Kluyveromyces lactis: one gene and its partner. The protein of the gene in region 1 purifies or fractionates together with the protein of each later gene. This does not show direct contact. Links are inferred from orthologs where the notes say so. Each region holds a gene or a part of one and is shown on either strand. Other genes may lie near its edges.

The links.
Region 2: the proteins of SAS3 (region 1) and NTO1 purify together in Saccharomyces cerevisiae (affinity purification with mass spectrometry; 4 studies listed by BioGRID, with this or other methods). This does not show direct contact. The link is inferred for Kluyveromyces lactis from reciprocal best matches to the Saccharomyces cerevisiae genes SAS3 and NTO1.

The regions. Positions count from the first base shown.
Region 1 is NC_006041.1:1,770,319-1,774,510, forward strand, and holds SAS3 (histone acetyltransferase), read left to right. Parts: upstream 1-1,459; coding exon 1,460-3,658; downstream 3,659-4,192. Other genes in the region: KLLA0_E19889g (NAD(P)-dependent alcohol dehydrogenase), read left to right, coding at 1-843. UniProt on the Saccharomyces cerevisiae protein: Catalytic component of the NuA3 histone acetyltransferase complex, that acetylates H3K14. The NuA3 HAT complex has 2 functionally distinct forms.
Region 2 is NC_006041.1:584,289-588,670, reverse strand, and holds NTO1 (Nto1p), read left to right. Parts: upstream 1-1,463; coding exon 1,464-3,647; downstream 3,648-4,382. Other genes in the region: RTG3 (Rtg3p), read left to right, coding at 1-926; SEA4 (Sea4p), read left to right, coding at 3,839-4,382.

The DNA of each region.
Region 1 (4,192 bases):
AAGGTTGGTGACCGTGTTGGTGTTGGTGCACAAGTCAGTGCTTGTTTGGACTGTAACCGTTGTAACAATGACAACGAACAATACTGTCCAAAATTCGTTACCACTTACTCTCAACCATACTTTGAAGATGGTTATGTTGGTCAAGGTGGTTACGCATCTCACATCAGAGTCCACGAACATTTCGTGATTCCAATCCCAGAATCTTTAGAAACCAACAATGTTGCACCATTGCTATGTGGTGGTGCCACTGTGTATTCTCCATTGAAGAGAAATGGATGTGGCCCAGGTAAGAAAGTCGGTATCGTTGGTATCGGAGGTATTGGTCACATGGGTATTCTATTAGCCAAAGCCATGGGTGCCGAAGTGTACGCCATCTCTAGATCCCATGCCAAGGAGGAAACATCCAAGCAATTGGGTGCAGACCATTACATTGCCACTGAAGATGAAGGTTGGGAAACCAAGTATTTCGATACATTGGATTTCATGGTTCTATGTGGTAACTCATTGTCGGCCGTTGATTTCGGCAAGCTACCAAAGATTTTGAAAGCTCAAGGTGTTATTGCATCCATTTCTGTCCCTGATCAGCATGAAGCCATACATTTACATCCAGCGCAACTTCTAGGATTCCAGATTACTCAATCTTGTCTAGCATCTCGTGCAGAAATCATTGAAATGTTGAACTTGGTGGCTGAAAAGAAGATCAAACTATGGGTTGAAACGGTTCCAATCAGTGAGGAAAATATCTCCACAGTGTTCAAAAGAATGGAAAGCGGTGATGTTCGTTTCAGATTCACACTAACTGACTTTGATAAACAGTTTGACCAATTCAAAGCCAAGAAATAGGCGTTGAACTGTATAAATTATATAGATGGTTGACACGTTGTTCATAGCTTAAGTCACTTATATATACATACTATGACATAAACGTCAAAATGGAAACACACATAAAATACAACCTACAATTTATACACATTGCAAGGAACGGCTTTCATAAACACCAGAGGACGGTAAGGGTACAGTAAAGTGCATGAAATGCAGTCACTGTAGCCAAGGTTACCTTTCCAGTAACCGAAAATTTCTCGAAGAAGAGCAACAAGATCATGGGAAATATTTGCTAACTGAGCTGGTATGAAAGATACAAAAAAATACAGATATCACGTGACCATCAAGAAACCGAAATTTTTGATGCAGCAGTAACATGGATCTGTATTGTTTTGCTTCATTTCATAGGAGAAAGAATGATATAGGCAACCGGTTTTTGTAAATGTAAGACCTAGATTGCTTGCTGTTAGTTTCGTTTACTATAACTCGGACTTTGTGAGTTCTTGTGAGAATGTGTTTTTAGAATAGACATTCTTCTCTTCTAAAACTAGTAAAGGTACTATCCTCTCTATTTGTTTACCTTATATTGAAAGAAGAAATAATAATTCATCAAGTGGCAGTCATCGCATATTTAAGAATGACGACTTCTAAGCGAAATAGACTGCTGAAGGAACTTCTGATTGATGATAATATACATTCCAAAGTACAGGCTGATTTATGGGACGCTGGAGATGGTGGAGTACGACGGAAACGCACCAGAGATAGACATGACAAGTCGTCGGATCATATAGGCTATAACGGTGCTGATGATTCTGGGGTGCAACCGGAGAAGAATAAGGACAAGAAACTTAAAACGATTGTTATACCATCTGATTGGAATGAGATGAACAGCCATGTGCAATTTTCAGACGATCGTAGAATTATTACTATCAGGTATAATCCGTTGAAGTTGCTTGATTTCAATCAAGTGTTGAACAGAGGCAGCGATCTCGACGTAAAAGTACCGTCAATTCCGCTAAATGGCATTGACTTTGAGATATATGAAACTGAAAATTTGTTAACATCTCTTGATAACGATGCTCAGTTCCCTTATCGTGGCGCAATTGAAAATAAGCAGGATTATACAACTCATAGGACCATTCCTCGTGTCAAAGATAGAGAGTTTTTTCTAACTTTGCTGCGTAAGTCCCAAACAGCAGCTCGTTTCAATGGTAACACACTCCTGGCATTTCCAAATGATGAAGCTCATAATCAAGATAAGAAACGGTTAAAGCCAACAGCTTTGATGCATTCTGCGAAGACAACCAACGTGGAATATGTTTATTTCCAAAATTATGAGATCAAAACTTGGTATAAGGCTCCCTACCCTGAAGAGTATAACAAGAACGAAATTATCTATATTTGCGACAAGTGTTTGAAATATATGAGTTCAAAGTATGTCTATTATAGGCATCAGTTGAAATGTGATTATATCCACCCGCCAGGAAACCAAATTTATAGAGATATGGACCAAGGGTTCGCCATTTGGGAAGTAGACGGAAGAGAGAACGTTATTTATTGTCAGAATTTATGTTTACTAGCGAAACTTTTTTTAAATTCGAAAACTTTGTATTATGACGTGGAACCCTTTATGTTTTACACCATAACAGTATGGGAGGACGAAGAATGGAAATTTGTTGGATATTTTTCTAAGGAAAAGCTAAACTCAACTGGTTATAACCTAAGTTGTATTCTTACTTTACCACATTTTCAAAGGCGCGGTATCGGACATCTACTGATGGACTTTTCATATCTCTTATCAAGAAGGGAATTTAAACTAGGCACTCCCGAGAAACCTTTGAGTGATCTTGGTTTGGTATCTTATCGAATATACTGGAAAAATAAGATGGTGCAAACGCTTAATATGTTATTTGAAGAACTGGGTGATTCATTCGCTTGTACCATAGACGACTTGTCCAATCTAACCGGTATGAATCATTCGGATGTGATATTCGGCCTGGAACAGATTGGATGTCTATACAAATACAACGATGAAGCCTCAGGTAAATGCAAATATGCAGTGAAAGTAGAAGATTGGGATATCTTGTGTCAGTTATTTGAACAGTCTAGAGCGAAAATGAAATATACTTTGGACCCTTCCAGATTTGTTTGGAAGCATGTCATTTTCGGTCCTTCGTGTGGAATCAATGCCGTTGGAACCATGGTAGAAACAAATGTTAGCCAGCAAAGAATTACGTCTGCCGCTGGTTCAACAGCTGCTGATCCATTCAAACAAAGTATATCTGTTCTAACGAATTTTATGAGTGACGATTTGGCGGATCCAAGAACGATGGAAGAAGCTGCAATGGAAAAGATTAAGCAACAAACTATTCCTGTATCCTTGTCTGATAAATCTTTAGTTCGAGCATATACACTTCCAAGCAATATCAAGGAAAAAATCATTAAGGCAAGCAAAATAAAACCTGAATTCAAACAACTCAATACGAAGCTCGGGGGGACTATTCCAGCTCTCAATGAAGGTACACCTTCTGGCGATGCTTCTGATGCCAAAACACTGATCAGCGGAGGTATGCACGATGATATAAATGGCGATGAGCAAGAAATTGAGGAAGAGTTTGAAGAGGCAGACGGTTTAGAAGATGAAGGTTTCTCGCTAGATGATGCAGAAGCTGAGGAGTATTCAGATGATGATGAAGATGATGATCAAGTGCCACCGCCTCCAGAGGAAATAGCGACTCCTAGGGTCAGTAGATCTCTAAGAAAACTCAGACAGCACAATCCCGTAGAAAATGAAGTTCAGCAAAGACCACAGAGAGTCTTACGGAATAGAGTTTGAATATTAATTAAAGGATAACCTAATCATAGTAATGCGTGGCCATGACATGTGTTTATGAGAAGAAAACTGATAATAGTGTAATATCTAATATATGCATGTATATATGTATATGATTGTAAGAATAGCGAAAATTAATGCCATCATTGATATAGCAGTAAAATGTAAATAACAAAACAACGTAATAGTACGCACTTTTCATTTAAGTGTTTATGCAAAAGGAGCAGCCCGTGTCCCTTTGCTATAATAAACTGAATAGGGACATTATTATGACAAAAAATAACCATATGGTACAGTTCAAATGATTTGGCATAAAGATAACACTGTAACAGTATTATTGATGTTCTATTGTAGTTATAGTACTTGTACAATGGGGTCATAATCAGGAAAGTGTGTGCGTTTATGTGATAGTAAATCAACGACAATGATGATTGAAGTAGCAGCGACTGGCGCCACGATACACTTCGGGGTTCATGTTCATACATGTCTGAAAGTGGTTTGTAAAGTAGTTTTTTAAGTTTTTGGTTCTTGATAATG
Region 2 (4,382 bases), about 1.2 Mb from region 1:
TGATGACACCAGTTTCATCGTACCAGCCACAACCAATGAATTCGTTTGATTCCCACTCTTACAACCAACTGTCTTCAAGTTTAAGGTCTCCTTCTGCCAGTTATCGTGGTGCTTCGCAACTCTCATCGTCATTGAGAAGTAACAGGGGTTCGCAACAGTTTCCAACAAGTAGCAGTTTGACTTCCACGCCTAAAGACATGAACTCATCGGCTTTGACTCAAGATGAGAAAATACGTAGGAGAAGAGAATTTCATAATGCCGTCGAAAGGCGTAGAAGAGAGCTGATCAAAGCTAAAATAAAGGAGTTGGGGACATTGGTTCCACCAACATTGTTACATTTCGATGATTTTGGAAAGAAGGTAAAACCAAATAAAGGAACTATATTGAAAAGAACAATTGAATATATGGATTGCTTAAAGCAAGTTTTAGAGATTCAAGATGCAAAAAAGGAAGAACTAAGGAAGAAGATCGCTGAACTCGAAAGAAAAAAGTCGGATCTCACAAATTCTTCTCTGTTGCAATCAGGAGCATACCCGAAAACTTCTCAAAATTACCAACATATTTCCAAATCTGAATCCCCCATTACTCATCATATCTCCTCAGAACAATACCAACAGCAGCGACACCAACAACAACAACAACAACAACAACAACAACAACAACAACAACAACAACAACAACAACAACAACAAGCTCACATCAACAATGAATATATTAACGATGATGAGCAATATCCAGAAAGGATTATTGACAGTAGAACATATCCGATGCTTGTCAAGGAGACAAACGCGGGAGCAAACGCGATACATGATGATCTTCAACAATTTTTGTCTGGTACATTAATGGAGAACGAAGACAACAGCAAATTAATGTTCAGCGGACGTGCCGAAAATCCTGTTGATTTATTACTTGATTTCGAAGAGTAGGGGATGATCTTCCTTGGGTTTTTTCGAATCTAATTACAAGAATATACAAATGTATACCACTTAAAGTAGTTAATATACATATATATATATATATATATATATATATGTTCCTTAGTTCTACAATGCGCTATGTAACGATAATGTGTTTTTATAATATGCAAATTCATGCTTCTTATTAATTGTTGCTTGGCACATCACTTTTAATCACAAAATGTCATAAAACCGTTACAAATGAAAGAAAAAGCAGTAATATAAAAGGATAACTAGACGCCTTGATCAACTTTTCAAAGATGCTAACCCTAATATTGTTCAATGAGTGTCGATCATATCTACGGACGCTTGCAGAGTCAGTTCTTAAGTCAAATTAACATTCAATCATATCACGTGATATATACTCCGAAAACCATAACAAAGAAAAAAGATAAATGAATCGGCCTATATGTTGAAAACGATCCAATTAGATGTGATGACATGCCTCTTTTCACCGAAGAAGCTCATTTTGGATACGATAGGCTGTAATATAGTTGGGATAAACTAATGCAAACTCAAGAGGACGGCGTTAGGCTTCGAGAAGAAGTTAGTTTTAAGCATTTCTATCCGGATTTAGACGTAAATGACCTTGTCCTTTTTGGGAAAAATAATCATGATGAGTTGAATGATCGTCATCGCCACGATGAAGAAGAAGTGTATCCTGACGATAATTTGCGAGAACATTTGAAGTCATGGAAACAATTGATCGTAAACGATAGCATAACAATCGAAATGCTAGGACCTCAAATCAAGAACGCAGAGTTCAAGCGCTGTAAGATTCGGATATCACAGCTAAATCCTCATGGCAAGGTTAATAAACAGTTGGTAAAATACGGATACAGATCTCATGCAGATCGTACTTGCGGATTAGATCAAAAGTCATACTGTAAGAAGACTGATCTATTGATGAAGCATAGCAATGAGTTTTTTGCTGATGTTTCGCCATACCAGGTTAATTTTAAGGTAGAGTATGATATGGATGAGCAAGATGACTTATTCCTTCGGCACTTAAATACGGCACTGACAAATTCTAAGCATAAGTTATCACACGAAGTTTTCGAAATAGTTATTACGATATTAGAGAACGAAGCTTTCCATTTAGAGAAGAAAATTCCACCAAGAGTATCACCTAGTGCTACTAATAATACGCATGAATCTCATGCTGCCTGGAAGCATCATGAGTTATACGGATCAGACGACGGTACTGGATACCCAATGGATCAACCGTGTGCAGTATGTGGAGGCATAGAATGTGATAATTCGAATGCGATAGTATTTTGCGATGGTTGCGATATCGCCGTACATCAGGAATGCTATGGTGTAGTTTTCATTCCAGAAGGTCAGTGGCTTTGCCGAAGATGCATGATATCCAAAAATAGAAAGCTCGAGTGTCTCTTTTGTCCCAGTACCACTGGAGCTTTCAAACAAACGGATAACGGATCGTGGGGCCATGTGTTATGTGGAATTTGGATACCAGAGCTTTATTTCGGAAATCTACACTATATGGAGCCGATTGGAGGAATAGAGAATATCCCGAAAAGTCGATGGAAGCTCACATGTTATATTTGCAAACAAGAGGTCGGTGCTTGCATCCAATGCTCGAATAAGAACTGTTTTGCAGCGTATCACACTACGTGCGCTAAAAGAGCTGGATTATACATGAACTTCAATGGATGTACAGTTCAAGAGGCTGCCTCAAAAAACTTTTCCACAGGTGCTTTCCTGGAAAGTTTTTGTCACAAACATTCTCCTAACGGCTGGAGTAGCTGTGAAGACGGAATTCGTAAAACTAGGGATTATTTTAATCACATTAATCATCACAAGGTGCTACAAGACAGTGCCGTGGAAGAAAACAAGCAATCTGCCAAGAAAACCATTAAGAATAAATGGAAAACCAGTAGGGGAACTTTAATTGCACCTCAAGCCTTCGCAGATATTACAATGAGAGTTTTAAACAGATTTCATGTTCCAAATTCCGAGCAAATTTCGTTGGATATATGCAAGTACTGGACAATGAAAAGAGAACTCAAAAGAGGCGCTCCTTTGGTAAGAAAGTTCAGCCCATCTTCTTTGAATACTCTAGATACCGAAGAGCTAAATGACAGAATCGTATTCTCAGAAGTTCTTTTGAGAGACCTCAATTCATTGGAAGGTCTTGCATCATCTTTGGTGGCTAAACAAGAATGTAATGTTGAAAGGGTAAGAAACCAAAGGATCATAAACGACATTGCGTTCCATCCGATAAGGTATATATTGAAGGATGTTGTGTGGAACAATCTCACAAAGACTTTATCTTTTAAATCTTTTGCAGACCTCGAATCATCTTCAAATTTCAAGGTCATACCTTACATTAGCTCCAGGCTTGAAAATGATGAATACTTATCTGTCCAAGAATTCAAGGATGAATTTGTTGGAAATATAGTGAAAATAACATCCAATGAGAGGTCACCGAGATCACTGGTAATAATGGGATCTAAGCTCATCAACGATCTTAACAAACTTTTATCTAAGATTGATGAGTTAGATGTACATACTTTATTACATGACGATTTCGATATAGATGAGAGAACACATCAAGTAGAAGAGGTTAATTGGAAGGGCCGGAAAATACTTGCACGCGAAGGACTAGCTGATGTTGAAGATTTATCGATCAAACAGGAAAGACAATTGAAAGGACTACTACGTGACTGAATTATCCATCAAGTTTTCGTTCACTCAGTACTTAACTCTCCTGTTCCTATGTACATATATCCGGGTAATAAAACTATATACGGTAAATTATTTCAAGATAACTTCAGAATGAGTGATAAGATGCATCAAATAATATTACGGTATTCAATGTAGTAAAGCATCTGTCGAGGCCAATCCACCAGTATTACTTCATGGGCTTGATTAAACGCGTTCCTTGTTGGCCAAATGTGGAAGGGTTGGATTTTTTGTCTGTTAATCCTACAAGAGATGAAGTTTCTCATTACCGAGTGAAGCTGGATGTGGAGACAGACGAGTCCATCGTTAAGGTGAATACAGTAAAGGACTTTGGAAATATAACATGTCTAGATTACTCTAATACAGATGAAGGTATAGTAGGTGTCGGTGAGAAAAGCGGTGTTGTACGGTTATTTAATATTTTGGATACGGACGATGCATACGAGCCGTTCGATCTACGAGTACGAGCAAAGCACCAGCGAACTATCAACAGTTTGAGTATAAATACAAATGGCCTAATAGCCATGGGTTTAGATCGCAATAAGCATGATGCCTCTGTACAGGTGTGGGATGTAAACTACCAAAGCACGGAATCAAATGTTATCACACCATCTTTTTCATATTGTTTGAACGAAAGTATCGTGTCATTGAAATTTGTCGACGATACCAGCATCTTAGCTGCAAGTTCAAAACTCTTGAAAGAAATTGACCTTAGAGCTC